Rhinolophus ferrumequinum: one gene and its partners. The protein of the gene in region 1 purifies or fractionates together with the protein of each later gene. This does not show direct contact. Links are inferred from orthologs where the notes say so. Each region holds a gene or a part of one and is shown on either strand. Other genes may lie near its edges.

What was found.
Region 2: the proteins of RHOD (region 1) and DAAM1 purify together in Homo sapiens (affinity purification with mass spectrometry; 3 studies listed by BioGRID and IntAct, counting the BioPlex papers as one, with this or other methods). This does not show direct contact. The link is inferred for Rhinolophus ferrumequinum from reciprocal best matches to the Homo sapiens genes RHOD and DAAM1.
Region 3: the proteins of RHOD (region 1) and DIAPH2 purify together in Homo sapiens (co-immunoprecipitation; 3 studies listed by BioGRID and IntAct, with this or other methods). This does not show direct contact. The link is inferred for Rhinolophus ferrumequinum from reciprocal best matches to the Homo sapiens genes RHOD and DIAPH2.
Region 4: the proteins of RHOD (region 1) and PLXNB2 purify together in Homo sapiens (affinity purification with mass spectrometry; 3 studies listed by BioGRID and IntAct, counting the BioPlex papers as one, with this or other methods). This does not show direct contact. The link is inferred for Rhinolophus ferrumequinum from reciprocal best matches to the Homo sapiens genes RHOD and PLXNB2.

The regions. Positions count from the first base shown.
Region 1 is NC_046294.1:5,069,867-5,077,776, forward strand, and holds the start of RHOD (rho-related GTP-binding protein RhoD), read right to left. Parts: upstream 3,011-7,910; 5' UTR 2,918-3,010; coding exon 2,786-2,917; intron 1-2,785. UniProt on the Homo sapiens protein: Involved in endosome dynamics. May coordinate membrane transport with the function of the cytoskeleton. Involved in the internalization and trafficking of activated tyrosine kinase receptors such as PDGFRB.
Region 2 is NC_046289.1:35,264,333-35,271,881, forward strand, and holds the start of DAAM1 (disheveled-associated activator of morphogenesis 1), read right to left. Parts: upstream 3,005-7,549; 5' UTR 2,892-3,004; intron 2,722-2,891; 5' UTR 2,661-2,721; coding exon 2,541-2,660; intron 1-2,540. UniProt on the Homo sapiens protein: Binds to disheveled (Dvl) and Rho, and mediates Wnt-induced Dvl-Rho complex formation. May play a role as a scaffolding protein to recruit Rho-GDP and Rho-GEF, thereby enhancing Rho-GTP formation. Can direct nucleation and elongation of new actin filaments.
Region 3 is NC_046284.1:58,164,057-58,170,952, forward strand, and holds the start of DIAPH2 (protein diaphanous homolog 2), read right to left. Parts: upstream 3,003-6,896; 5' UTR 2,650-3,002; coding exon 2,518-2,649; intron 1-2,517. UniProt on the Homo sapiens protein: Could be involved in oogenesis. Involved in the regulation of endosome dynamics.
Region 4 is NC_046293.1:397,482-405,373, reverse strand, and holds the start of PLXNB2 (plexin-B2), read right to left. Parts: upstream 3,010-7,892; 5' UTR 2,903-3,009; intron 1-2,902. Other genes in the region: protein DENND6B, read right to left, coding at 6,361-6,483, 6,564-6,638, 6,718-6,820, 6,938-7,047, 7,296-7,394, 7,460-7,614, 7,731-7,796.

The DNA of each region.
Region 1 (7,910 bases):
TGAGGTGCAGGGCAGCCTGCCACTAAGCTCTTGGGAGACACATGTCACTACTTTGCAAATGCCTGTGGAGATGACACCATCACCCACATTCTCCATGGCCCTTTACCTGCACCATCTCTGATCCCTGCAACCTTTGAAAGTTGGTACCAACCCATTTTCCTGATGAGGACACTGAGGCCCAGAGAGGGGAAGTGACTTGTCCAAGGTAACGGACAGATGGCTAAAGACAAAGCCAGGTCTTTCTGGTTCCAGAGGCCAGGTTCTGTCCCCAGACACTTGCCTCTCGTGAGGTCACCAACTCTAGCCACTGGTGGGAGTGACCAGGAAAGTTCCCCCCGCTCCCCCCCTCGATTTCAGGGTGTGGGGTTGGGCTGCTCCTCTGGCTTGTAATTGTCACAACCCTACTCTGGAATGTTATCCTGGAGACTCTATCCGTCTACACCTTCTGTTGTGTTCTTTGAACCCCTAGGCATGGTCACTCTCTGCCCATAGAGCCAAAAAGCCCTTAACCTTATCTGTTGAGCTGTTCTCAGCCAGAAAGGCAGGGCCGAGCCTAGGCTGGACCAGGGTAGAAATGACTCAGGCTTGGGTTTGCCCTCATGGGGCTCACAGACACACAGTTGGATCATTCCAGGATGGGGGACGTAGCTCAAGAGAGGAGAGCGGGGCTTCCCTGGGCAGCACACCCATGGGAGTCCCTGTGTGGAGCGGGAAGACTCAGCTGGTTCGGGAAGGCAGGGCTGGCACTCCCTGTCCCCTCCCACCTCCCCTGCTGTGGGGCCCCTAGGCTTTGGCCCTGTGGGAATGGTTGCTGCCCCAAATGTCAACCAGGAGTCCTCCCGCCTCAGGAGCTCTTTCCACTCTGCTCCCCCTGCCCTGAACCTGAATTTGGGCCAAAGCCAAAGGTTGTTGAGGCCCCTGCAAATCCCAGCCTGTTCTCTGCTCTTTGCTGCAGGCATAAGCCCTAGGGAGATGGGGCCCCAAGTCTCCTTGCTCCTGGCTCCCTGGGCTTGGTGGGCTGCCAGGAGGGGAGTCCAGGGACAGGAGCAGGAGAAGGCTGGGTCCAGCAGGCCGAGCACTGGGGGCTTTGGAAGGTGTCTTATCGGGGGAGGAAGACCTGGGTTCTAGACCAGCGCTGCCACTGCTGGGCCCTGTGCCCCAACGGGAGACTCTGTCTCTCGCCTCGGTTATCCTATCTGAAATGAAGGCCTTTCCAGCTCTAGGACCTTGTATTTCTTTTAAATGAAGAGGCCTCTCTTGTGCCTGGAGGCAGAGGGGTGCCTGGGAATTCAGGATCCCCAAACAGGGAGGAGCCCAGACAAAGCTGCGCCCACCTTCTTGGTGACAAGCATGCCTTCCCTTTCCCTGGCCAGCTCCAGTGTGTCCCAACACCCACATTTCGTCAACTGCGTGGCAATGCCCACTTCTACACTGTAACCTCTTTGAAACCAGGGTCTCACCATCAAGGCTGTCTCAGAGCCCAGGACACTGGTGGTGAGGCACCACCCCTCCCAGCCCCTCTGCTGGGCCCCACTGGCCTGGCCCCTCCGTGGTGCTCTTCCCAGTGTTTCATAATTGTTGGGTTCCCAAGGGCAGCATCTGGGGGCCCGGAAACACATCCCCCACAACTTAAAAAAAATGTGACTGGCCAAAGGAGATGACATCAGCTCCATAAACCACAAAAGACTCAGCTCAACGCTGTCACCGGGGAAAGAAAGTTCCGAGACTGTTACGAGGGTTGGCCTCTCCTGCCTCCCTCATCAGACTCCCCAACGCCTGCACAACCCCAGGGGTTTGTAGGATGCTGGCACAGGTAGGAGGGAGAAGAAGTGTTGGAAGCAAATCCATGGTCTCCCAGGAGAACTAGGCTGAGAGGGGGCATGGGGTGGGTGGGTCCAGCCCATTCTGGTACCTGGTGAGTCCGCCTGAACAGTCAGTAAACATGCTAGTGAAGGACCGGTGGTCAACATGCCCTGAGCACCAAGGATGTGCCAGGTACCACGCGGGGTCATCTGTCAGCCTGACTTTAATTCTCACCAGCACCCTGGCTCTCTCCACCCCAAAAGGTGTCAGGAAATGGAGGCTCAGAGAGGTTAAGCAAGTTCCTGAGGGCCACACAGTTTGTTAGAGGAATGCCAAGGTACCAATCAGCTGTCTGACTTGAGTCTGTTTCCCTTACCCTCCAAGGCAGAGCCCATGGGATGTCCGTGTCAGGGGCAAATCTGGGGGAGAAGAAATGATGTTTCTTTCCCAAGTGAGTCCTTCCTGTTACAGGTTCTGAGCTGAGTATCTGACCTGTATTAACTCACTCTTCACCGCGACACTGGGAAGTGGGCACCATCATTATTCCTATTAAGCAGTCAAGGACACAGGCACAGAGAGGGTAGGAGACTTGCCCAAGGGTACACAGCTGTAAGTAGCAAAGCCATCACTTGAACCCAGGCAGTTTCCAAAGTTGTCAGTCCCTTTTAGCCATGCTGTGCCACCAAGTGTTCCCTTAGGACCTGCCACTACCCAGGTTGCCAAAGTCAGTCCCTGTGACACCTCTCCCAGGTAGGTGCCTTTCTCCAAGATGATATCATTGAGGCCCTCACTCCCGATGGCAGAGCGAGAACTGCCACTGACCCCACGCTCTGCTGGGAGACGTCTCGGGAGGCCAGCGTGGGCACACATCCTGGGCAGCTCCGGCACAGACGGGGCACACCGGGCGCCCGTGCGTAACCGTGACCAGGCGGGGATGCGTGCACAGCAGTGGGCGCCGTGCCCGGAGGGCTGCGGCACTCACCTCGGGGAAGGCCCCTTCGGCGAAGACCATCAGCAACGACGTCTTCCCGCAGCCGCCGTCGCCCACCAGGACCACCTTGACGGACCGCACGCCTGGCGGCGCCTCCTCACCCGCAGCCTGGGCCGCCTTCATCGCGGGGCCGGCCGAGGGGCCGGGCGCGCAGCGGCGTCCGCCCGGGCTGCGGCGAAGGCCGGGTGCAGGGCAGGCCCGGCGGGGCAGGAATGTGGAAGGGGCGGGGCGGCGGGAGGAAGTGCGAGCCGGGCTGGGGGCGGGCAGGGGGCGGGCGGGTGGCCGCCGAGCCCAGGTGAGAGGCCCGAGCCGGGATCCCCGCGCGTGGGGCGGCAGAGACGTGGCGGCAGGGCTCGGGCCCTTCCCCTCCCGTCCTGTTTGGCCACTAAAGAAACATTTCTTGAGCACCTACTGTGCGCGTGCACTGAGACCACAGAAGCGGGGGACCCAGACTCAGCATCCGGTCCTCAGGAGGGCACTCTGGTCTGATGGGGAGGAGACAAGTAGCTGGACAGCGACAGTGCGAGTAGGGGTGTGGACAGGGAAAGAGGGGGCACCTGGCCCATTTCCCCTGGAAGGAGGGAAGTGGGGGTCAGCCATGTTAGCCTACCAGTTTGGTGGGATCAGGGACTGGGTTCCAGGTGCCCAGTGGAGCAGGAGCTGGTGACTTTTGATAAAGAAAGAGAGGGAGGGAGGGTAGGAGGTACCAAAGAAGGGAGCAAGTAAGGAGGGAAGGAAGGAAGGAAGAGAAAGAAAGAACATGCATTTTCCCCAGGGCTCTGGAGACCCAGGACACCACCTTCCTCCCTCCAGGTGTTTCGGCCGGGTAGGAATGGGGTGACGTGGACATGGCACTGCCAGGCCTGGCCTGCCTTCCCACAGCCAGCACCAGGAAGTTTCGCTGCAGGTGGGTGACCACCTGTCTCACTTCTGGCTGGAGCATGATCTGGGGAAAGCAATGGAACCTTCCATCGATAAACTGCTTAGATCAAGGTTTGGTACATGCTTGATGCCACGTATGAGTGATCCTTATTATTTAACCAACACTGATGGTTCCTCTGTGCCCAAGAGCCTGGGGGACCCTGAACCATTTAAGAAAAAGTCCCTACTTTGAGAAGCCCGTGCCTAGAATGGGAGATGGGCGGGTATCGGCACGATGAGAGCTACAACAGAGATGACACAGGACGGCTACAGGGAAGAGCGGCCCCTCACTCAGGTTTGGGGGAGGCCGTGTCAGGAAACCCTTCTGAGAAGAGGGGCTACTCTTGAAGAAAAAGTGAGACACAGACGGGGAAGGGGAAGGGTGTTCCAAGCTGAGGGAACAGCACACGCAAGGTATGGAGACGAGACGGGGGTGCTTTGGGGTCACAGTCCTTCCCCAGGACAGAGGGCAAAGTGGGTTGGGGAGCCAGTGCCGGGGGTGAAGCTGAGAGTTAACAGGCCTGGATAATGGAGCACTTCGGATGCCAGGAATTAATACAGAATGAAGTGGAAACTCACTGTCGCCTGACCTCCCACCCCTGGTAGCAGCCAGAATTGAAATCTTTTAAAAATGAGCACAGGGGCCTCCCCCAGTCCTGGACTGAGTGTTTTTGTTGAAGCTCAAAGAAAGGGGGCAGAAGTCTTTGGGTTTCACATTCCCCCACCCCCTTGCAGGTCATGATATCATCTACATAGAGTTCAAAGCTGGACACCTGAAAAAACCCCCTCAGCCCCCTTTGAACTTCACTGTGGCCCAAAGAGGCAGCCAGGGCAGGAGTCACTGCCCCAACGGCAGAGGCAGAGCTCAGACCCCTGACTCCTCTTCTACGCTCACCCAGGACCCCAGTCATCAGGCTGAATGAAGACTCACCTGGTTGGAACGAACATCCCAGGACCTCCCCACCCTTCAGGTGCCCCTTCCTCCCCGAAACTGCCACAGGGCTGGGCAGTGACTTAGAACAGGACTGGGTGTGTCACCACTGAGCAGGGATCTCCGCCCCAAGGAGTGGTGGGGAGGGCCCCAGCCCCCAACGATCAGCTGTCAGACTCATCATCTTCTGTCCTTGCCACTGTTGCTATCATCAGGCTTTGGGTGGCAAGGCTGGGAGGCAGGTGGGGGTGGAGAGTCAGGCAGAGGCATTTGGCCTTGTTTGCTATGGGGATAATCACCTAATGACACCCTTGATGTGTGTCATGCTTTACAGTTTCACTGAACATTTCGTAATAATAACAGTGTCCATGAATGGATCGTTAATCCTGTGCAGCAGGACCTACTGTGCAGCACCTACTGTCCCCTAGTAGGTGGGGATTGTTAGTCCCATTTCACAGAGGAGAAGCCTGAGGCCCAGAGAGGTTAAGTTCTTGTCTAAGATCCACAGCTAGTAAGAGGCAGAATCCTAATTTGAGCACAGGTCTGGTCACAAAGCTGGGCTCTCTCCTGACATCACACCTCATATACTTTAGTCCATTCAGACCTCAGATCTACTGATGTTGAACCCCAGCCTCATACCTCTTGCAGAAGCATGAGCATAGATAGAGCATAGATTGGGGCCCGGAAAAAATCCATCTTGGTTGGCAAAGAATTTACCCAAATCCCAGACATGGCTGGGCCCTGGATGGCACTGTTTTCCTGGTGTTTATTTTGGAGTGGGGAGGGGCCCAGGTCACAGTCAGCCTGGCTAGGATACTGTTTACTGTTGTACTGTTTTCTGTGGCTACAGTTTGCCGCCAGCCTGTGGGTGACTCAGCCCTTGGAGATCCCACTGGTCCCAAGCCCAGAGTCCTTCAGAAACCCTGCCCAGCGGGTCACTACCCCAAAGACCCTAGAACAGCAGAGGTGGCCAGGTTGGCCACCTGTGCCTCAGGATGTTATGTCCAATTGAATGCCTTGCTGGACAAGTGGGAAAGGAAGGAAAATGAGGGAGCAGGGGAGAGAGGAAGGAAAGAAGGAAGGAAGATGGGCTGACTGAAAATAACAACAAACTGAAGAAATGAATAAAAGAATAAACCATTGCATGGATGAATGAATACAGCCCATGACCTGAGTGCGGGGTCAGCAGACAGGTGAGCACCCTCCAGCCTCCATCTGCTCCAAGGCTCCCCAGCCCTGGGACCCTCTGCCCCATTTTCTGACACCCCACCCCCATCCTCCCTGAGGCCCGGGAGTCCCCTGCTGTTCCAACCGAGTCTCTGCTGCCCCCGTGTGGCTGCTATGCTCCCTACACCAAGGGCAGCCCGCTCTGCTTGGGGTTCTGGCTCCGGGTGTGGGGTGTTTATGAACGGCTGAAGCAGAAGGAAAGTGGGTGCCAGGGGGTGGAACTTCAGAGTCTAGTCCTGCCCTTTGGATGCTTTGGCTGCGGACACAGGCCTTTTGCTCCTCTTGCCTCCCTACCCTCCCTCCTTCCCTTTCATCCCAATCTGGTGGATCCCAAGAGCCGGAACGCCACCCAAAGCCTTGACTTCACATATACTGAGCACCTAGTGTGGGCCAGACACGTGGCGTGTGTCATTTATTCCATCCTATGAAGTGTGTATAATTCTTATCCTCTTTGACAATTGAGGAAACTGAGCCCCAAAGAGGACAGATAGTTTGCCCAAGATCCCACAGCTGATAAGTGGAAGAGCTGGGGTTCTAACCCAGGCATTGGGGCTCTAGAACCCATATACCCAGAATCCCCAAAAGTAAGAGATGCGAGGGGCCTTTACAGGCCTTCTTGTCCAAATGCTCCTTCTTCAAATGGGGAAACAGAGGCTCTCGGGGGGGAAGGCACTTGTCTCACAGCGAGTAAGCAGCAGGCCCAGGTCTATGGCAGGCAGAACCCAGAAGAAACTCTTCTCAAGTTTCTTTCTGAGGCTCCCCAGAGCAATTTGATTGGAGCGCAAGCCTGGGGACGCAGGCCTCCTGCCCCTGCCTCCTCTCCCTGCCTCACCATCCTTGATCCTTCTGGGTAGGATGGGAAGATTGATTATGGGGCGGGAGTGGGTGGAGAGCGAGGGAACCCAGTGGCCCAGTCTCAGTGTTTATTTAGCTTGTTGGTTTGTTACTTCCGGTGTCTACAGGCATAGACAACCACAGGCAGAAAGAGGAAGTGAAGTCTGAATCTGCTGTCAAGTGTGGATGATAAAGTAGCTGATCCGGCTCCTCCCACATGCAGGCCTGGCCTGGCCAATGCCGCTGGCCAAATCAGCAACCTCCACACCTGTCCTTTTGGGTGGAGCTCGGCCTGTCCCCGAAGGCTCCCAGACAGGGGGCCTGGGATCCTTGAAGCAGGCCCATGGGCCTGGGGTTGGAGGAGGGGAGAAATGAGGGATGGGAAGGAAGGGGCAAAAGAGATGGAAATAGCTCAATTTGGACCGTGCTGAATGAACCTAAAGCCTGAGGGCAGCTTGGACTGCCCCTCACTGACCTAAAACAGCCTTATGTCCCCCCTTGTCATTTCCAAAGCTGCTTAGAGTGTTCCCCTTCCTGCCTCCCTTCTTCTCACTTGCTCCTGCCCAGGACCCCTCAGTGGCTCCCCATTGCCAGCTGGACAAGGACCTTCAGCCTCAGCCTGGACACAAAGCCGTCCCAGCTCAGCCCTATCCGGTCTCTCCACACTCAGCCGGCTGTGTGGCTCCCTAGACACACGCAACGCTTGTGCTGGCAGTTCCCCTGCTTGGAGGCCCCTCTCTCTCTTCCATGTGTACGGTCCACCCGCCCTGCAAAGCCAGAGCTCATGTTTCCATCTCCTCTGGGAAGCCCTCCCTATCCACCTTTACAGGCCCCTGCAGCAGCCTGTCTCCCTGGTGTTGGGGGAGGGGGTTCCACAGAAGCAGTTCACAGTCAGGCCCTGGGGTGGCCAGGCCTCCTGGGGTATGCTGGGAATTCCCACTCAGATTCTCTTCTTCCCATGTTTACTGTGACCTTCCAGGAGAGGGCAGGGGGAAACCAAAGCAGCCTGGAATCCAGAGGGCCTCCTCTGCTGCCCCTCAGCCCCACCCTTGAGGAATTGAGGGAGGGTTTGGCCTAGTGATTAAGAGGATGACCTTTGGGGGTAGCTGATTAGCTCAGTTGGTTAGAGCATGGTGCTAATAACAGCAAGGTTGCTAGTTTAATCCCTGCATGGGCCCTTATGAGCTGTGCCCTCCTTAAAAA
Region 2 (7,549 bases), on another chromosome or scaffold:
GCAATAATACAGCTCTTGGATCTCCAATCATGGCTCTACTACTTTATATTGATTCAACAAATATTTATTAAATACCTACGGGACCAAAAACTGCTTTAAATACTGGAGAGATAGAGATAGACAAGACAAAGACACTGCTCTCAAAGATCTTAGGGGAGTGGGGGAAAAACCCATACATTGGAATTGGCGTCAGAATTATAGGGAGACAGGAAGTAAACAGGTAATTAAATGAGATTGTTTTTTCAGTTAATGATAAGCTCTAGGACAAAAATAAAGAGTGATTCTGGATCCAGACCTATAATAAATGCAGACTTCTCAGAACCCACCCTCCCCCAAAAAAAGAGTGAGTGACAACTTCTAATACCACTTCCTCATGGGGATGTAACCACCTGCTTCTTAGAGATGAGGACTGTCAACCACTTGGCACACAGCATCTGCAGCATTTATTTACCTGCACACATAGAGAGATGCTCACAGATACACACACACACACACACCTTAATGGCACTATCTGTGATAATCAACCTTAGTATGAAATGAGAGCAGAAGAAAAACAAAATATTTGTGAAATTTAATTATACTTAATGCAATTACATCACAAATAACTGCATTCATCAAGAATCTGTAAAAAGGCAAAACCTAAACAATTCTAAGATAAAAGGATAAATAACAGTCCAGATCCTGGGTTAATAGCAGGAGTATTAGAGATAATATTACAAATAGTAACATGGCTACCTTGCCCACTTTGCAGGACTGCCATGAAGAGCCACATTATTTTTCCGTACAGTAAGGCTCGGTGTCCGAAGCTGGGTTTAAACTCTAGTGTTCAGATTTCTTTGAGAAAAATAAAAGACAATGACCAAGTCCTTCTTAGAGTCACAAGATTTTATACCTAGAATCAACTTTAGGAAACTCTCTGTACACTCTCCCCACTTTACCAATGACCAAGGTCCCCAGAGGTAAAGGGTTAACCTAACAGTGGAATAGCCAGTGATGACAGAGCCAGTGTAGGGCTAGCCTTTTAGATTTTATCAGAACCACAAGGGATGGCAGTGACTTCCAGAATTCAATTTCAGTTATTGTCCCTAAAGACTTCAGTGAGTTGCACCTATGGCAGATTGAGGATCTTTACTGGTGGCCAGAGATTTGTCTTCAAGCAGGAGAGCTCCCTCCTTGAGAAAGCTGCTTCCAACACTATAATACATGTTACTAGGAAAATGATGCAGCTAGCCTGAAAGGGGAAAGATACCTTTCAATTGTAATTTTCAGAGTTTCCCTCAGGAAAAAGGCGCCCAATAATTATATCTGGGAAGGGAGCTGGAGAGACCAGGTATGGGAACTCCAGAGAGAAAGGAGCGAAGAATTGTGTCCAAGATATTTACAAGAGAATGGACAGAGCCCCCGGGCTGTGAAAGGGACGCAGAGGAGAAAGCAGCTGGGCCCAAAGCAAGCACTTGACCACACCCACAGGCCACGCCCTCCCAGCTGCCAGCAGAGCCACATCGAATTGAAACAGCAGTGAGAGCAGTTAAGATTCCGACGGCAGGAGTCGCCATGGCAACGGGATTCATCTTGCAGGCAAACTCCGCTTCAATTCACTAAGTCCTTCTCGAGCCTCAAGAAACTACCAGCTTAATGGGAGCAAAACTGTCACGGGAGGCATTTACTGTTGATGCTCACCTGGGGGTGGAGATGGGAATCAAGAGGGCGGGGTTGGGAGAAAGGGAATGTAGGTAGCTATTCCTGGGCCCACTAAAATATTTTATGAGGGCAAGAGGCAGAACACCCCAAACCCAGGCTGTGAGCAACTTGAGAGCAGAGCCATTAGCAGGGTTTGATGAATGAGTAGGCGAGCGAACAAGAGGGGCAGGGGAAGGCAATCCAGAGGGCTTTATAGAGTTCTCGGGCCTCGTGCACGTCTCCAATCGGAGGGCAAGTGGATCACAAGAAGCTGGATTTTCCGCATCAGCTGGGAAAACCCGATTACCCAGGCTGCCTGCCCCACAAGCGAGCCTTATCATTAGATTATTTGACACCCCACCGCTTTACCACCTCCCAACCCAGGGCTCCGGGCAGACGCTTCGCCTCAGCTCAGGTGCTCTTTGTCGAGGGAGCAATCAGTGCAGGGGGGACCAAGATGCGCCCTCCCCGGAGGGACTGGGGGCAAAAGAGCTCTGAGGCTCCTCGAACCCGGTCCGCAGGAGGCGCAGCCTCCCCTCGCCGCTGTGCGCCAACACCCCTTGCTCCTTCTGCAACGCGGGTTTCCCCTCCTGCCCCTTTTGAAACCTCCAGCTTACAACTTTGCCTGAATTACAGTCACCCCACCCCTTTCGAATGAAGCGTGAAGTGAGGGTGTCAGGGATGGTGGACGTTCGGCTCAGAGTCCCTCCTTCCTGGTCGCCACCTCCGAATCCACCAAGCCTGCCTCAGGATTCCTCCTCTGCCAGCAGCTCCCGACAGCAGCAATGCACGCAACCCGCAGCCGAGGCCACGACCCCCAGCGCCCCATCCCCGGGGTGCCTGCAGCAAGACGGCTGTACCTGGTACCCTGCCTGCTCTCTTGGCATCCGAGCGCCTCTGAAAGAAAGGAGGGAGGGACCCTCATCCTCTGGGGCGCCTTCCTCCGGGCTCGCAGTGCTTTGCGCCGTGCTTGCAGCCATTTTTCCAAATCCAGCTTGGCAGCCCGGAGCTGTCTAGGTCCTGTTCGCACCCAGACCTAACCTGAAGGACGGGTTTAATATTTACCTACTGGCCCGGGAGCTCCAGGGAAGCAGCGGGAGGGCGCGCCGCAAACCCAGAGCCCGGCCCGAAGAAGCGCGCCCACCCCCGCTCCACCGCTTGGTGCCACTTAATGAATGAGTGCGGCGGGCGAGGCGGCGCATCCCCCTTACCTGAGCAACCCCTGCATGCTGGAAAGGCGGCTCTGCGCTCTGGGTACAATGGGACCCGGTTAAACAGTTTCCTTCACAGCCGCTCGTAGGTTACCAACTCGCAGGTGACATCACCCTCTCCTCCGCTGATAGGATACAATGTAGCGCCCAGTGCGCATGGACTCCCCAGCCTGGCCCATGGACTCCTGGTAGTTGTAGTCCCAATACCGCAAGCAGAGCCTGGATAGCCACGCTACCGAGGTTAGCACAACTACAATTCCCGACGCATTCCTCGGCATCTTCGTCCCCGCCCCTAGTCCCGCCTCCGCCGGGACACCCCGGCCCTCCCCTCCTTGCAGCCTTGCAGTGTTAGCGGTGGCGGTGCAGAAGCTAGGCTGCGGGCTGCGCGGGCTAGAGACTGGGGGAACCCTGCCGTGGTGCTATTTGACTTGACCTCCACTCGTCCCTGTGAGAGCTCTGAGGGCCCCGAAGCGTCCGGGGCTAGTGCGCACCGGCCAGGCACCTCTGACCAACCCTGCTCTGTTGGCCTCAGCTGAAAAGAGACGATTAAGTCTCTCACTGTCTTCCCTACGCGTAAACTAATTAATAGGACGCACGGGTTTCTGGGTTAAATGCGGTCCTGGAATTCCCCCAAGCCCCAGAGGATGAGGCGAAGCCGACCCCGCAGGAGAGAAATCCCCGCGTGTCCCACTTCGTACAATTCACCTTTCTGTGTTCTCTTTCCTTCTGCCATTTAACGGAGTTCGCGGGGAACAGCTTAGTTGGCTGAGCTGACAGAATAACGGAGGCTGTCACTAATAAAAATGCAGAATAGACAAGACAATCGCCGCAGCCCTCCCTCAGGGAGCCTGCTGCTGCTGCTGCTGCTTCTGCCGCTGCAGAGATAATACTGTAGCGCAGCCATGCTTTTGTTCTTTCCTGCAGTGGACTTCCCGCTCTGATGGCTCTCAACTCCCAGGAAGACATCTTTTCCTAAAGTTTTAATGACATATATACGTACACATGTACTGCTAAATCCCTAACACTCTCGCCTCATTTCCCATAGCTTTCTCTTCAAATATTTTTTAAATGACCTAAACCAAACAACAGCGTGCTATTCAAGAATTGCCATGATCTTAATACACCTAAATGTTTAAAGGTAAGCAAAAAGTGTGTATCAGAATTCTGAACCTTCAGGAAGATTTCATTTTTAATACAATAATATTAAATAATAATAATAATAATAATAAAATGTTTCCGTGGCATTTTTCATTGTTCAATGAATACCAAATATTATGAAAAAATGATCATTCAGAGCAAATCTTAAGCTGTTTTTTTAAATGAAAAAAAATCAATGCATCTACATAATTATTCCAGTGGCAAAGATAGAGTACATTATAATGGCATTTGATGTTGCAATCACGTAGAAGGATCAGCTCACACCCCTATTTCTATTAGCAAATCTCTGGAAGACTACATCTTGTGAAAAGAAAGTTCACAATTAAAAATTTTAAAGAACTCTCCATCTAATTGTTGGTGGAAGTTTTTCTTATCACTCTTATTTTCTCATCTCATTGTGGAACAATATCTTGGGTTCAAGAGAAAAATATTCATGGAACTAGTTGAGGATCTCAGGGGAGACGAAAATGCTTTGTTCTGCTGAGAGAGGTGTTTTAGTGTTGAATTCTGATTTTCATTTAACAAGCTCATTCCTCATATACTAGACACATTTTTCCCCACTGAAAGAAGATAACTTTGAACGTTGCTCTCCTGTTCTGAGCTATCCCATCCATTCCAAATATTATCTTAAACAGAACCCAGACAACACAAATGTTCCATTGGCCGTCAGATCAAGAGTACAATCAGTGATATTCTAGCTAATGGGTAAGCTTAATGTATTGCAGTTCATTGTGGGAAAATATTCAGAAAGTAACTTGACCTGGGATGATTCTAAAAGCTCTCCTAGTTTTATAACTGTGTAAAGCTTTAGATGGGAATATAATCAGTGAGCCTGAAATTTATTGAGGCAAATTGGGTGTGGAGATTCTCCATAAAGCAGGGCTCGTCCTTACAGATAAAAGCATATTATTGAGGCACACTCTGAGGACTAACTTTACAGGACAAATCAGCTTACGGCAAGTTCTCTTGGGTCTTCAGCAACAAAGGAGAGGATGGCATCTGCCTTTAAAAAAAAAATCTAATCTCTGTAGCAATTAATATTATAGGGATATGTCATGTTACATAGCTCATTTCCATCTATAAAGGACATCATACACAATAGAGTAGAAGCACAGGAATGTGTGGATGTGCATGTGTGAGCTTCCTCCCTATTAAATAGATATATAAATATAGATAATAGATATTGAAGGCAAGGCATTATGTTTGGAAGCATTTTGCTATAAGTGTGATGGATTTGAACAGATCCCTGCACACTGTTTCACTGGTAACCAGGGGAAACAAAGATGGCTCTTCAGCATCAGAAATGCAGTCTGGATCCAGAAGAAGCTTAATTTCTGTGGAGACAGAAGGGATCTCTCTCTCTCGTTCTCTCTCTCTCTCTCTCTCTCTCTCTCTCTCTTTCACACACACACACACACACACACACACACACACACTCACACACTTATGTTGTGTGTTTGTATTTAGTTCTTTCTAGGTGACTAAGTAGTCTCATAAGCTATCAAAAATACCGATCTGTCTAGCTTAATCTATAATATTCTCAAAGGATTTCTTTAGGATTTTTCTTCTTTTCTTTTTAAATGACTGCTGCTATCCTCAAATGAGCTTATACGAAAGGCCTCGTCTTGTCCCATAATCACTGCCTATTAATTAGGAACCTGTGGGACCACTGAGAACAGATTTAGTTGACCTGCAGGTAGAGAAGGGGAAAGGCACCATGGAGTATTTTGCTGATCTTTCAAAATAATCTCTCAGTTCTGATTACAAGGTTTTACTCTAGCTGTTGGGTTTTAGATAAGGGAAGAAATGAGACATCAACAAAGAAAGAATTTTATGTTTGTAGCCTGGCATGTGTTTTCACACAATAACTTGGTGTTTTGCAACAATTGAGGTTATATGCTTGAGACCAGGTTTGGGGTCATGCCATTTTACCACTTTTGAGCAATGTGACTGCTCATTCTCTCTGAGCCTCAGTTTCCTTATTTTAAAAATGGGGTTAATAATAAAACCTATTTCATGAGGATTTTGAGGATTAAATTATACTTGTAAAAACACATTTCACATTGAAAGGTAGTATACAAATGCTAATTCTTGTTATCATTTGCAATTTTTCCCTAAAGATTATCTCAGAAATGTCACCCCTAATTATGGAAGAAGTTAATAAAGACCTATTTGAATTTAAAAAATCTTATTCTTAACAAGAAACTATGAGAAATTATACGGCACGCACATATTATCTCACTAATTTGTAAGTAGGCAAAATGTACTTTGAAGAAACGACTGAGAAATCCAAATTGAACAGTGCTGGTTCTTGGCTTGTTTTCAGATTTACACCTTGTCCTTCCGCAGTGCCCCAAGCTGTCTTCAGCATCATAGGCTGTCTTCTCCAAGCTTCTCAGCATGGAGAGTTCTGCTGGGAGATTGGAGGCTGGAAGGAGGGAGAAGCCAGGTTATTTCTCCACCTCCTCAGAGTTGCACTGGGTGATGTTTCTGGCAGCATCAGCAGTATTTCCTCTGTTGGACTGGTCTGTCGTGATTCCAGCATCTTTTGGATCACCCCAGCCTTTGTTAACACCACCTTCTCCCTTTTTCCCTCCAGCCTAAGGGTGGAGGTAGCTTCCTGCTGTTGCCAATCTCTCACTGCATGTTTGTCTTCTCAGACCTTCTATCACCCATGAGACCAATTCCCTATACTATATCATATCTGTTTTAAATACTCAGAATGGTTTTCGTTTTCATGGTGGAACATATAACTGATACACTTACGTCTTAGTTCAAGTTATTTTGTGGGCAGGCAACACAAACTTTCTATGGCCAGTTTATGCAAAGGAAGGAAGGAAGGAAGGAAGGAAGGAAGGAAGGAAGGAAGGAAGGAAGGAAGGAAGGAAGGAAGGAAGGAAAGAAAGAAGTAGGATTTATTCAAAGGATTGAGCAACCAAGGCTCCATCTAAGAACAGGTACCAGACCAGCTCTCAGAACCTAAACAGTGGTGGGTTTTGAACCTTTTAGCTAGCTCATTACTCTAATAGTCCTCCATCTCGGTGTCTCTGTCTCTCTGTATGGTGTGAGATGGGTACTAGACTTATCAGGGTGATCACTTCGTGAAGTATATAAATATCTAATCACTATGTTGTACACCTGACACTAACATAATATTGTATGTCAACTGTGATTGAAAACTAAATTTAAACAAATTTTTGACAGAAGCTGATTGCCCTGTCTTAGAGTGACTTTCTCTAACTTAATCATCTTCATATGCCGTGGTTCTTAAACGGGGGACCCCAGTAGCCTCCGTATCACCTGAGAACTTGTTAGAAATGCAAATGCTTAAGCCCCACCCATAGACCTACAGGAAAAGAAACTTTAGGGCTGGGTTCCACAGTCTGTGTTTTAACAAGTCCTCCAGCTGATTCTGACACATAAAATTTTTTGAAACCACTCATCTGCAGCAAAGATTACAAGATCGTATGGCTCAGATATGATCACTCAGGATCTCTCCC
Region 3 (6,896 bases), on another chromosome or scaffold:
TCTCTCTCTCTCTCTCTCTCTCTCTCTCTCTGGTAACCCAATAGTTCTTATGCTTCTATAGGTGACAGAGCCTTTGAAAACACTGACGAAAGCTATGGGATCCAGAAAAATGCACATACCTATATACACTCAATTTTTTTCATACAATTTCAGGAGTTTAAGAACCCCTATGCCCCACAATCACCTGTTACACAAATAATTTCTATTACCGTATGGCTCTTTTATAAACCCACACGTGTGCACGTGCACACAATTAATGACTATTATACTGATCAATAACATAATACTCAAAATAATAAAATTTAATCTAGGTAAAGCTTTATCTTACTAGCAATATTTTAAGTTACGAATCCCAGATGAAGTCTTCTCTAAAAGACCTTAGAAGAAAATGCTGAGTTTTTCAATAAGACAAGTCAAAATAGGGAGTAAGGCATTTATTAAAAAAAAAGAAAGTTTACTAGGTCTGGTTGTTTGGTCAACATGCTTGCCTTAAAAAGTGCTGAAATGTCTAAAGAGTGCTGAACCGTCTTCCTAAATCTGCTTTTATTAACTCTGACACTTCTGCTCATAAAATCCCGTAAGGCTCAAAAGTTGTATTTGAGCAAACAAAGAATTCCCCACTGATAGTAACAAACTCTTGAATCCAAATACTCGTTCTACTATATCATGCTATGTTCAACACCAAACACAAGTTAGCTAGGAACCGAAACTGATACCAGCTCATAACTATCTAGTTACCTTGTCAAAGCAAGTAAAACATAAAAGACGAAACAGGACAAATGACCAAAGGAAAGGGAAGATTATAATCAAGGTCTTATTTACTAACAGACAGAGATAAGTGCTTTCTCTTGAGAACACACTTCCTAAGTGAAAGGTTCTTGCTGGATGTACCAAACTATTGGTGGAAACTACCAGTTCACTATTATTTTTGCTTAAACTTTTAATCACGGTTTAAACCACAGTTTTGTGCTGGGTCAAAAAAAAAAGGAAAGGAAATATGATCAATCGTTTAACACAAACTGATAAATTTTAAAATCACAACATCAGAATTTTTAAATAAACTTTGATGATACACTCACAAAACTTTTCTGTTTCATGATGGTGGAGGGCACCCATTAAACCCAGCATAGACAATTCACAAAGACCTTGTGACTCAGTTTCTTCACTTGTAAATACTGCCGTAGTAGGACACATCAAGTAAGTATATCCAAAATTTGCTTCTAGTTAGGGTGGAACTGATAAGACTTTAAACTTGTCATTTTATTATACCCAACCAGGTCCCTTCCCACATAATGGAAGGCTGCATATTTCCTTAAACGAGATATAATGCTTTGACCACTTTTTTCGAATATGGACGGTCCATAATTTAAAGGCAAATAGGAGGCAAGAGCGGGAAGTATAACAGGTACACGCCAAATGGACAGATGCCGTAAGAAACGGCTTGAGTTAAAAACCACCGTCTCCTTCCTAATTATAATCAAGTCGCTGGTTAAAACTGAAAACTAGATGAGCAACATGTGGCTTGTGCTTCAGAGCTAGACCAAGAACGTTCAGAGTCAAATATCTGCTGAATTTGTACATGAAAACCGTTTCCCCTCATGCCACCCGATTTAGAAGGTTTTTACCAAAAAAAGAGGAACCCTTTTAACTGATGAGTTTAGGAAACTCCAGTATTTCCCAATCCAATAGCGGGCCCCATAGATTTCATTCCTCAGAACATTAAGTCAGTGGCAGGAAATAGACTGCTATTACCCGTTCACACTCTCAGGACGGTGAGACTTGTAGTCAGCCGATTGCTTCTGAGCACTCTTAATCAACTAAGTGCAAGTACTGAACGCCTCTGCCTATTACCCGACAGTTGGTGGTACCTCACCCAGCCTCCAACTCCCACGCTCCCCCCACTCTTCCAAAGAAATGTTTCTTGCGAGAGCACATGGAGAAGCGAGGAGGGGAAAGAAAAAAAAAAAAACCGCACGTAGGCGCCTCTCCCTTAGATTTCTGTTAAAGTAGAAAGACTGGGGGCCTACATTGTGTGTCTTTTTGTTTTATAGGATTTTTTTTTTCCCCGTCTGTGGGTAGGGTCCCAAGTACTTGGGCTGCAAAGAAGAGAGGTTTCCCTGTCCGGACCCTAAGCGCTCAAGACGCAAAACCCAGCAACTGACAGGGGTGGGAGGGGAATGGAATCGCGGAAAGAAGGCTGGTGCCCACAAGTTAGGCAAACAAGACCCCATCCAGTTCTCCGGGTCTCCCCAAGTTGGGGTGGGGCCTTTCTCCACCCCGCACTGCCTCCCGGGCTGACAAGAGTAAGAACCCGGTTAGGTAGAGAAGCGGGTGCTCTTCCGCCCCCACGCCGTCTCCGCGCCTCGGCGTGGCCGCTCCTTCAGCGGCTCCCCGAGTTGCACAACGAGGTCGCGGTGACCCTTGGGAGGGGGCCCCGGGTCCCCCCGTGTTCAACGACAGGAGGATCCCGGGGCTCTCGTTGTCCCCAAGGCCGGCGGGGGCTGCGGGAGCACTCACCAATTTGGGCTTGTTTTTCGTTTCCTCTTCGGTGGCGGCCCGGTTCGCCGCGCTCCGCTTGTTGCTCCGGCCCCCACCGGGTTCCTCGCTGCCGCCTCCCGCTCCCGACGCCGCCGCCCCGGGCTGCTCCATCTTTCTCCGGCCCTGTCACCTGTGCCCTGTAACCCCACCTCTCCTCCACTGAGGAAGCCCCTCGGGGCGGTCCCGCTGCCCCGCGCTGATTCGGCAGCACCTCTTCCTGAGGGGGAGTGTCTGTCTAGGGAGCTGCCGATTTCAGGCCCCCGGGAGTCCGGGCTCCCCGGCACCCCAGACGCCACACGCCGTTGCCTCTACTCGGCGCTGGGACAAGCCTTGCCCCTGAGAGCAGCTGCAATTATCACGACCGCCGCCGCCGCCCTCAGGGCGGTGTTTAGGGTGGAGAAAGTTGGTGCCTATCTCTTTAAGAGGGCCTCAACACCCGTGATTCATCAAAGTGCCCGCAGTCAGCCGCCTGGGCGCACAGAGCTGCTTCCTACTCCCCAGGCCAAGTCGGCCCCAGCTACTGAGCATGCCCGGCGCAGGACCCGAAGCCCAACGAGAGGACTTTAAGCTGCGGTTAAGCACTGATTTCACTTCCTAGGGGCCTAGCGTGAAATGGCAGGGAACTCGTCCAGAGAGAGGGGGTGTAGCCCATTTTAGAGGTGGCGAAACTGAGGCCCGGGAGGATTCACGTGTGCGTTTCAGGGGCCGGTGTACCTGAGTCTCAGCCTCCACTAGCATAGGCCAGAGCACCTTCCCTGGCAGAGGCCATGCTGGGGGTGTGGCCCTGCTGCGCTCTGTGGGTGGGGTTGATTGGCAAGGCAACTGGCATCCCATAGGAAAAGCACCACGGGGAGCGCTGATTAATTGCCTAGACAGACTGTACGGTTCACAGTGGAAAGAGTGGGTGCTTTCTGTTGCCATGATGGCGTTGCGGCCAAAGAAATACGGCTGTTCCTTGATTCCCACGCTGCTCGGCAGCAGAAGTAGCAGGCACCCACCGCTTAAATCCCCAAGGGGGTGGGAGTGAGGCTCTTCAAGCAGAGCACCTGTGGAGAGCTCACAATTGGACTGACTGCTGTTTTCAGCTCCCGGAACTACTTTAAATCGTTGTGGGGAGTGAATAAGATCATGTGTGTCAAAACTTTGTTTAAAATATAACTCTTTAGACAAATGCAAGGTGTTTTTTTGTACAGCTGCAGCAGGGCACTGCCCGTATTGTTACTCTCTAGTCCTCGACTTGTCAGGAAGAGGCCCGCACAAGATTTCTGCCATCTTTTTAAACGGGGCGCTTTAAAAATAATGCCCACATTGAGAACATTTAGAGGGGTGATTTGAATGCACCACCATCATAGAATGAGAGCAAGGGAAACTACCTGAAGTATAAATTCAGAAACCAAGTCTCTAAACATGTCCATATACCTCTTACTCATGTATCTTCGGGCTATGACTCCTTTTGCCCTTCTGCCCTTCAACCTAAATTCAGCTCTGCTGAATCTAATTTGTTTATGAACATATTTATTGATGTTCATAAACATCATTAGGGTAAATTTGACCGTGCTATAGGCGTGATGAGGCAATTCACTTGGACAGTAGAGTGAAAAGCACATTAGATATCAAAACAGTTTTAATCCCAGCTTTGTCATTAACTTTTTAATCATGCAGCTGGGAAACTACCCAGGGACAGCAGAGGGAATACACGCTCCCAGGCAGGGTGGGCAAGGAGCCCTAAGGTAAATTTGTTTTGTTGAAGTTCCTCTTTGACTTAAAATTTGATGTATAGTTTTTTTTCCACTCACTATACATGTGCGTGCATGCACACACTATTTAAATTACTTAAATGTCTCCTCTCCTGAAAAGTTGCATAAAAATGGATGCTGCAGAAAGACATGACCTGTATGCAATGCTTTCACGTAATTCCTGTTTGACAGATGTGGGTGTAGGCCATGGCTGAGGGTTCTCAAAGCTCAAATGTTGCTCAATAATCTGCTCAGTACACATTTATTTAGCTCCTTAGAGTATACCAAGTGACGTACAGAGGGTGGTAGGGTAGAAGGATGAAGCTGACACCGTTTCTGCCCTTTAGAACCTCAATCTATTGGCTTAAGAGTCTACTTCAAGTCAGTATGTGTTGACAGCCTACTGAGTGTTAGGTACTATGCTAGGTATTGTGGATATAATAGTAAACAAGACAGATATACTTTGCTCTGATGGAACTTTCTGGCTATTGGGAAGGATATTAAGCAAAAATGTATTGAGTAATTACAAGGTACCGAAGGAGGGTGAAGAGCATGCCAGGCAAACAACATAAGGATAGCATGTACAGAGACCCTCTGGTTAAGAAATTGGGGGGTGAGGAGAGAGCCTGCTGTTGGCCAGAGAAGAAGCAGAACAGATAAGCAGCTTCCTGATCATGAAGGTCCCTACTTGTAGGTCTCATTGGTGTGGTTTTAAAAGGGGGGAAGACATTGTAACACAAAGACTTCTGTTTGGAGTATGTAAATAGACTTAAAAATGGATTGACATCATTTTGAATGTAAGGTTGGGTTTCACCATCCTCAGACCAGGCAAAGCTACATTTAAAATCAAAATAGAGGTCCATGTAAAACATGCATAATCTTTACTGCAAAAAGTGAAAAACTCTGGCCCTAATATGGCTTACTTTGGACTTTATTGTGGTTATCACAGCCCCTGTCTTAATTCTTGTTGTTTGTTTTTCAGCATTTTGCCCCAGTTAATGCAAACAGTAATTACTAACAAACAAATACCCTTCCCTCAGGCATCTGGGTCATGGGCCTGTCCTGGAAGTTAACGCTGGAAGGAGCTACTCCTCTCCCACAAGGACACTTTGTCCACTGATTATGAACCAGGCGCCTCAGGGATGCAGTCCTAGAGCTGATCTGACTGCACCTGCATTCCTTTATGATTACCTTCCTGGGACACACAAATAAGCTGGAGGATGGAGGGCCATCTTTTCTCTGATGCTGAAGAAAGAAGGAGGCTACCACCATCAGCTGGGATATCAAAAGTCTATGTTAGACCCACTGACCTTTTGGTCTCTCCCTCTGGCCTCTAAGGAATGTAGCACCCGGGTCAACATTAAAACACTGGCTCTGGGAGAACAGAAAGATAAAAGGCTGCTAGCCTCTAGCTTTCTTCAAACTGACCTTAGACCCATTCATTTCCTCAGAGGTTCCTGACGATCCTTATAGTCTCCCTCTGGCTTTCTGTGTCTCCCTTCTGCTTCTTTTTCTTAAAGTCTTCATATATTGTTAGGACTTCTCCTTAATTGTGAGAAAGCTTGCTCCTGATCACTTCAGAACTGAAAATGCTAAGAAAATTCATACATGATGGGCGGCCAGATGGCTCAGTTGGTTAGAGTTCGAGCTCTGAACAACAGGGTTGCCGGTTCAATTCCCGCATGGGATGGTGGGCTGCGCCCCCTGCAACTAAAGACTGAAAACGGCGACTGGACTTGGAGCTGAGCTGCACCCTCCAAAACTAGATTCAAGGAACAACGACTTGACTTGGAGCTGATGGGTCCTGGAAAATACACACTGTTACCCAATAAGATTAACTAAAAAAAAATAAAATTCATACATGAACCAGCTGAACTTCCACCTTATTTTGACCTCATTCTTCTATTTACTGATCGCTAATGCGCTATTCACGGTACATGAACACTTGTAGTGGGACAAACTGTGAAATATAAAATCTCTACCATCAATAGGAATAAAATCTAGTTGAGAAAACAAACAAGAAGACAAATGTGAGAAAGAGTAAGAAAAAAATTAGCTGCCTAACTCAGAGGTACTGACTATAATTCAACATAATATGGTAAAAGGGTCAGATTAGTTAGGCCTAGAATAAATAAAGTTTTCAAGAACGAGGTAAAGCTTGAGCTGCCGAACTATGAAGCAGAAATCAGACTTGAATAGGCAAAGGAAAGAAAGGAAGTAAGGAAAAGACAACATATGGAATAGCCTGGAAACAATACTGACCACTAACATTGAGGGGCCAGTGAGGCTTAACTAGAATGGTGAGAACATAGATGTTGAATAATAGTAGGAAACATGGTTATCCCCATAGTGTTTTCCCACTCTGTGAACACATTTGAATGTGAGATGGAATAGTAACTGATAAGGATCTTAAGCAGGGAGGTTACAAAATAAAGAAGTATTTTGAGGAACTCTGATCTATGCAAAATAACATCGAACACTGATTTTCAAACTATTCTTCCCGTAGTACAGGTTTTTTTCCTAAATAAAACTCTTCACAGAACCCCAATATATACAACACATACACATCAAGCTTACCGGTTTGAAGTTAGCCTGGGAGCAGAGACCATAGCCCCGCTCATG
Region 4 (7,892 bases), on another chromosome or scaffold:
TAGTGAGAACCCCCACCCCAAACACAAGTAGCCATTAGCCTCTGGCAGAGGGACTCTACCCAGCCCCCACCCCCAACTAGTGAACCTGCCTCCACCTCAGAAGGAGTGCAGGTGGGGGACCTCTCCCTAGCTCACCTCCTTCTTTCCACCGCTGGCCCCCAGCTTTACTGGGCTCCTCAACAGGGAACACAAGCTTATTCCCCACCCAAGAGGCTACGGCGGGTGTGGGGGGGGGCTGTTGTTGCTGCAGCAAGAAGGACTGTGGTATGACAGGCGTAAGGACTTCCTGTTCACAGATGGCAGAGGGCCTGGCGCCTCAGTGGGGCCCTGCCCAAATCAGCCAAGGGGCCACTTGGGGACACTGGGACCCACAGCCTCTCCCCACCAGGTATCCCCTGCCACACCTAACGTCCCAGGGTGGGGCATCGGTCTGGCCCCAGGATGTGGGCACAAGTTAGGGAACAGGATACCATGATGTCCCCAGAATGGCCTTGGTCCTGGGATGGCGCAAGTACCTGCAACCTAGCCCTCCTAGGGGGAGAGGAGCTATGTGCCATATGGACCCCTCCCCAGGCTGCCAGCCCACCCCAGTGCCTTCCAATCCAATCTCTTCCCCTCACTCCCCTGGGCTGGGGCCAGGCTCCTGGGCTTCCTGCACTCCATCCCAGACCCAGCTGCCAGCTCAGAACTCTTCAGTGGCGTCCCCACAGGGGTGCCGGGCTCATGGCTGCGGGCACACACAGCAAGGACCCAGGGAGTCCACCTGGCAGAGGCAGCGCCCCCCATGGTCCTTCCCAGGGACCAACTAAGGGCCCCAGCCCCTCAACTGTGGGACCAGCTAAAAGGGCTGTATGGACGGGGGTGGGGGGTAGGGGGGTGGGGGGATGGCGGGGTGGGGGGGGCGAGAGCAGGGTGAGAGCTGGGTTATCAGAGGTACTTAGAGGGAGGCTGTGTGTCAGCTACTGGTCAGTGGGCCAGTCAGGGGGCAAGCCTGAGCTTCAGCCCAATGCCCCATCCTAAGCAGCTTCAGTCACACCCCACCCGCTCCGCACACCTTATCAGGTATGAGTAAGGCACCCAAGGTGTGTCCCTGAGCCTGGCTCTGGAGGGTGGCCTCCAGCTGGACCCCATGGATAGGCCCAGGGCCCTTCCTACCCCACAGCCTCAGCCTTCCCCAGTCTCGCTCAGCAGGGCCTGCTGGGGCCGTATTGCAACCCCAGGGTGACACATCCCCTCCAACCCCGCCCCCGACCGGTCTCGGGGGAGGAGAGTAGGGCTGCCCGGACTTGCCCATCCCTCCCTTCTGGGACGCTCTCAACCCACGGTTCCGGAAGTGGATCCCTCTCCCAGGCTGCAGCCTCCCCTCTTGGGTGGCTGGACACGGCTGGATAATCCAAAATAATTCCTTCTTGGCAGGCGGCCGGCGGGGGAGGGGGACTACATTCCAAGCCCTGTTTTTCTCAGTGACTTCCCTCCCTTCCTGGGGCAAGGAACTCCTGGCCAGGCCTCAGGCCTCCCCTCAGACTGAGGGGGCCCCCAGAAGGTATGGCAAGAGGAGGGAGGAGGTACAAGCCTACCTGCTTCTGCTCAGTCTTCTCTGGGAATTCCTGAAAGCTGTCAGGCCACAAAAAAACCCCAGCAGGCCCAGCGGGGTTCATGCGGCCCTTCACCTCAGGGCAGAAGGGGGCGGCCCCTCTCACCAGCTGCCCAACTCAGACTATCCCCTGGCTCTGCCCTCCATGCCAGGCTCACAGTCTTCACTTCTGGGCTGCCTTGCTCTCTCACTCCACAGGGTGCAGCCCCAGGTGGGCAGGTAGCAGGGGTTGAAGTTAGACATGAAACAGGGAGCACCCCAGGGCAGGCAAGGGTCCAGAGAGCCCCTCAGACCCCAGAACATCCCACCAGCTTTGGGGCCCAGCCCACCCCAGTGATGACCCCCACCACAGGCCATGGTGAGCACAGGGGGACAGACCCCTTCCTTTTCCAAGTTGCTGGGAAGAGAAGCCCAACGACATAGCAGGAAGCTCTGGGGCTGTTGAGCTCAGAGACCCCCCTCTCACCACCCCCAGCAAATCAGCCAAGCAGTTTGAGCAGAGGGGCTGGAAAGGCCCATCCAAGGCTTCCTGCAGGAAGAGGCATGCCAGGGTGCAAGGCCAGAGGGTGAGGGGCAGGGCCCAAGGTGTCTACCCAAACACCACACCAACCAACTACAACAGCACCTGTCCCAGCGACCCTGGGAACAAGCAGACCCCAGGACACCAGGATTTTCCAGGAACTGGTGCTGGCTCCCCTAGTCCCAAGCCGGCGCCCTGCACTACCTTCCAGCCCTCCAGGCGCAGCCCAGGCCCTCCTCACAAGGAACCCCAGGCGGTGCGGGGGCTGCCAAGGCCTGACCGAAGGTCCAGCCCCCTGGGGAAAGCCGGGCTTGGCCACCCTAGAACCGAGGCTGGGTGGATGGGCGGGGTGAGTGCCGGCAGCTCTTGCACAACAGGGACTATCTTCGCCCTGGGACGGATCTCGGTGGCTGGAGAGATGGGGAGCATGGATAGGCTAGGAGGGAGGGTCGGGAACCAGAAGGGGAGCGAGAGGCTCCAGAGGGACCTGGGCGGCGGGAGAGGGCGCAGCGCCCTGCTGGGGACCCTCGGCTGGGCTAGGCCCGCTCACCCTCCGCCCCCGGCGCCGCAGTCCTCGAGGATCACTAAAAAGGGCGTGGGGCAGGAGCGGCCCGGCCCTGACGAAAGGACACACAAACGGCTGCCGAGGCCCGAGTCACCCTCCGCGGAGCGGCAGCTACCCGGATCCCCGCACCCCGAGTGCGGAAGGCAGGGGCAGAGTGGAGCTAACGGCGAAGCCCCCCGACCAGCGTGGCCACTCCGGGGGCCCTGTACCCCGGTTTCGGTACCTGCAAGTCAGCCGCCAAGATTCGATGGCGCCGGAGCCTCGATCGGCGCTGCGCTGCGGCCCGTGCGGCTGCCATGGAGACGGGCCTTTGTGTGGCCGAGGAGGGGCCGGAGCGCGGGAGCAGAGAGTGGCCCCGCCCCCGAAGGGGAGGGGGAGGGGAGGAGGGGGAGGGGCGGGAGAAGGGGGAGGGAGGGCGGGGCCGACTGGGCGCTCCCCGCGTGCCCCAGCGCCCCCGCCCGCAGTGGGTGCGCCGCAGCGCGGAGGAGTTTCAGTCCGGCTCCGACCCACATCTGCGCCGGGCAGCGATCGCCCCTCGGCCTGGTTACCATCCCGGGAGCGCCCCGGGCCACAGGGGAGCCCAGACCTTAGCACCAGGGGATTGCGCAGCTCCAGACAGAGGACCCCGGAGCCGGTTCTCTCCGAGGCGGGTCGGGCACCGGTACCCCCACCCTCCGACTGGGAACAGGCCGGCCACACCCCTGCCTTTTCCGGGGGTGGGGGGCTGCTGGGCCTTGACCCCTTCCCTTAAACCTCAGCACCCCCAACCTCCTAGGGGAAAGACACCTGCGAGTGTCCTAACAACTCATCCGTGGCCCCCCAGCTGTGCTGCTTTTCCCCTTTTCCTCCCCCACCTGTGGGCCTCTGGGGACCCGCACCCAAGACCACCTAGCCCTGGAGGTAGGGGTGAGCCTGAGCCTTTCCCGGGGTGCCAGCTCTGGACTTGAGCTTCTTCCACTTCTGCCACTCCAACTCCCAGTTTGCCCTGGGGCCTCCTGGACTTAAGAGGTGGGGACGTCACGTGCTCCCACTGGCCCTTAGTGTGGTCAGTGAACCGGGTGTGGTGAGCAGCACAGCGCTTGGAGACCCCAAACCCCAACTTATACCCACACACTGGGACTTGTCCCCTCCTTGCACTCCGCTCCCCTGACCCTGAGACCTACCCCCAATGCTCAAGAACCAGGTCACTTACTTATGTCAGCGTCTCAGCAGCCCTCCCACCCCAACCAGCCAGGCCAGACCTTCACCCCTTCAGCCCTGAACCACATCCACATGACCCACCCAGTCCCCACCGCAAGGGACCCAAAAATTACCAGTGTCTGACAGGGATGCCAACTTTTCATCAAAAAGGAAGTTAAAACACAAGCATTGTGCTTTATAGGGCATTTTAATACCAAAATGTGGGAAGGCCACTATCCCCCACTAGAAGGGAATCTTTAAATAGAGTGCACGCAGGAAGCTTGGGGGTGAACTGTCCTTCCTGTCCCCTGGAGCAGCGACTGCCACCTCCACCCCAGCCCCAGCTCCACCCCACCCGGGGCCACTCAACCAGGCTTTGACACAGCCGCTCCAATCTCCGGCGGCCCCAGGGGGCTAAGCACAGCACCCTCTTGGACCAACTGGTCCCTGCCTCTCCAGGCCCCCTGCCCGCGGGGCTCTGTTGGGGGCAGGTCTGCTTCCTTTAACCCATCTGCCTGTTTTCCTCCAAACCCCTGTGGCGGGGGTCAGAGCTCAGCCAAGTCAGAGGTGACCTGATCCTGGGAAAGAACAAGCAGCCTCTGGGCAGAGAGGATGGAGTAGCCCCCAGGCGCTTCTGTCTGCTCAGGGGGTCAGGCATGAGGAAGACAGCTCCACGGTTCCAGGCACTCCAGGGGACAGGCTTCCTCCCACCTCTACACTTCAGCCTGGGATCCTACCCTGGACAGCGGTGCCCACCCTGCCCGGTGTCCCTCCCCCAAACCTCTGCCCCCATTGGTCCTCGGGGCAGGACGCCAGGACCAAGGGAATCTGGTTGTGCCTTCCTGTACTGATGGTGGCTTCGTGGAGGCCACCTTGCAGCCCCTGCCCTGAATCCTGTGCCGCCCCCAGCCCTCCTTCACACACAGGAGCCCTTAGAAAGGCAAGTGAGATAACCAGTATGGCAAGCACAAGCTGGAGTGAGGTTTGGGGCGTACCCTTCACGGGTGGGGTTGTAATGGTGAGGGGGGCCCAGGCCTGGTAATGCGTCTGGCCAGTGGAGTTAGGGTTAGGGGTTACGGTAAGAAGGTCTCCACTGTCTGTCCACTCAGCCCCTTCTTGTGGAGGTCAGAGAGCCCGCCAGTCACAAGGAAGGTGCTGGTGTTGTCACAGACCCCCTTGGAGATGACACCCTGGGGGGGACCACCCCTCCAGACAGACAGCTAGGGGCAGGCCACCCAGTGGCATTGGGGGCCAATGTGGAGCCTTTCTCACTCCAGGGCCTCCCGCTTGTTCTTTCTCCAAAAACGGACCCACTACCTCTGCCTGCCTCTGCTGTGTTCTGTTTAGTTGCTGTCATGTCCTGGGACCCTGCACCAAGCTGGGCTCAGCTGTCCTTAGAAGGGGGACAGTGACAGGCTGTCCTAGGCCGTGGTCAGCCCAGACAACCTGCACCGGCTGCTGCCCAGCAGGGGAGGAGTGGAGGCAACAGTGAGCACAGCATCCAGGGTATGGGCTGAGTGGGGAAGAGAAGGGACAGCCCCCCACCCACGCCCACTCCCTGTGTCAGGACCCTGCGCAGGCCTCACGGGTCAGACAGCTACAGGATACACCCCCCATATGATGAGGGGTCTGAAGGCTGGAGGCTGGGAGACTCACAGCAGGCCCACAGCTCGGGGTCACACCTCACACCCACCCTTCCACTGGCTGGCACTGCTGTCACCCTGGGCTGTCGTTGACAGCACTGGTGGCAACACAGCATTGCTGGGGAGTACATCACCTCTGAGATTGGGGGCTGGGGGGGTTGGGCTAGAGTCCAAAGTTGCTCAGGCTGCACGTCAGGGTGGATGCCCATAACGGGGTAACTCGAGTGCCTGTCAGCTGAGAAGCAAGGTGGAGCAGTAGGAGCCGAGATGGTGCCCAGTGGGCTGCACGGGACAATGCTCTGGAGGGTTGGCGCGTCGCCAGGCCATCACACAGCCCCCTAGCGGCCGCCGTAGGTGAGGCAGCCCCAGCCCAGGGCAAGCCGGTGGATGGGCTGGGTGAGGAGAGGCGTCTGCTTGTCAGCTGCCTCCTCCAGTCCTGGCCTGGGCAGCCTGGTGGGACTAAAGGACATCAAATGCACCGCGCGGGGCCCCAGGGAGTTGGGGCAGATGGGTGCCTGGAGGGGGCGGTGGGCCCAGGCCCAGATCAGCAAGGGCTCACAGCCAGCCCCGCCCCCGAGCCTGCAGCCCTGTGGAGGGCAGGTGGGGCCCAGGGGGAGGTGAGACTCCAGCCAACACAGGATCTGCCAGCAAGTCAGGAGCTAGGCTGTGGCTCCAAATGCCACTTTTACTGCAGCACAGTAGTGGTGCTGGGAAGTGGGGCAAGGCCAGGAAGCAGCAGGGAGCTTGCCTTGGGGAGCTCATGCTTGGCTGGGGCTGCCCCTCACTGGGGAGAAGGAAGCTTGGCCAGACCCAGGCCCCCAGGGAAACCCAGGCCCTGGACCCTGCCCCCCGGCCTGTCCTAGCGGGGGCACAGGACGGCCTGCAGGTCCTTGGGCAGGGAGCCGATGACCATCTCGATGTTCAGCTGGGCCCGATGCAGTGTCTCCTCCTTCACGGGGAGCTGGTGGCCCTGTGCCCGCACCTGCAGGGGCAGTGGTGGTCAGGGGCAGGCAACTTCCATGTCCTCTGGCCTGGGCTGGGCAGGGCCAGGAGGCGTCTCACCAGCTTCTCCCGAAGTTTCAGGATCAGGTCCACAACCTCCACCTCGGACTTGTCCTTCATCCAGGTCTCAATGTCCTGTCATGAAAAGACGTGGTCACCCATCACCTAGGCCCTGGCCCAGCGCTGGGCCTGTGACCACGCCCCCGCCCCTTACCGCCTCACAGATGGCCTCCAGGTGCAGGGCCTCCAGTTTATGCGCCATCTCTTTGCGCCGCTGCCGGTACCAGCCGTCAAAATGGGGGGACTTGAAAAACCGCCTGTGGGTGACGAGAGGCAGCGGCTGTGGGGCTGATCCATTGAGCCAAGGGGTGGGCACAGGCTTCCTGCACCCACCAGCAGCAGGAGCCTCGGGGCCCTGCCTGCTGTCCACCCACCTGTAGAGGCCCAGCCAGTCACCCTTGAGGATGCAGGTGAGCTGGGGCCCCGCATGATCCAGACTGCGCAGGAAGTCGTCCTGGTGGAAGGGGCGGATCTGGGGAGGGGCCTGAGACAGAGGCTGAGTGAGGAGCGGGCACAGCCTCGCTAGCCCCGCCCCGCCAGCCAGGACCCTCCCAGTCATACTCCTCGGCTCCCACCCTGCCTGGGACAGATTCCAGAGGGAACTTCGAGTCCCCACGTCTCTGGCCTGGAAGGACGTCCGGAACGGGTGGGGAAACCTGGCGCTCTAGGGGCGCCTGCACACCCACGACCTCCCTCCTCTGGAATCGGGACAGGAACCCTTCCACTCCCCGCCTGCGTCCAGCCCCTGCCCGACGGCCACGTGGACCGGGAGCCCACCTTCCAGGGCGTGACGCTCTTCTGCAGGGGCATGAGACTGGCCATGTAGTGCTCCTGCGGGGGGAGGGCAGTGAGCGGGGGCCGCAGCCCTGCCCCACCCTGCCTGCCCTGGGCCTCACCAGTGGGATGACGAAGCTCTGCGTGAGCTCCAGCAGGTGCGTCCGCAGCAGTGCGGCCAGTGCACCTGGCGGCCGCTTCTTCTGCAGGCCACCGAGCAGCCGTTTGAGCAGCGCCTTGTCGCGGTGCAGGTGGGCCGTATACGCGGTGTAGAGGCCTGGCGGGAGGCAGAGCTGCGGACCTGTCCCAGGGGCCTCCCTCCTTCTCCGCCCCCGCCCCCGCCCCACGGGGGTCCTGGAAGGAGAGGAGGTGTTCAGCCCGAGGGGCACACACCTGGTTTGGTATCGAGGGTCTTCAGCCTCGAGGGCTTTTTCAGCTTGACCTGTTTAGGAAGACCCCCTACGACACAGCCAGGCCCGGGTCAGTGCCCGGAGGCTCAGACCCAAGACCCGCCTGGGCCGCCGACTGCCCCGCCCCACGCCCGCTGTGACCCGA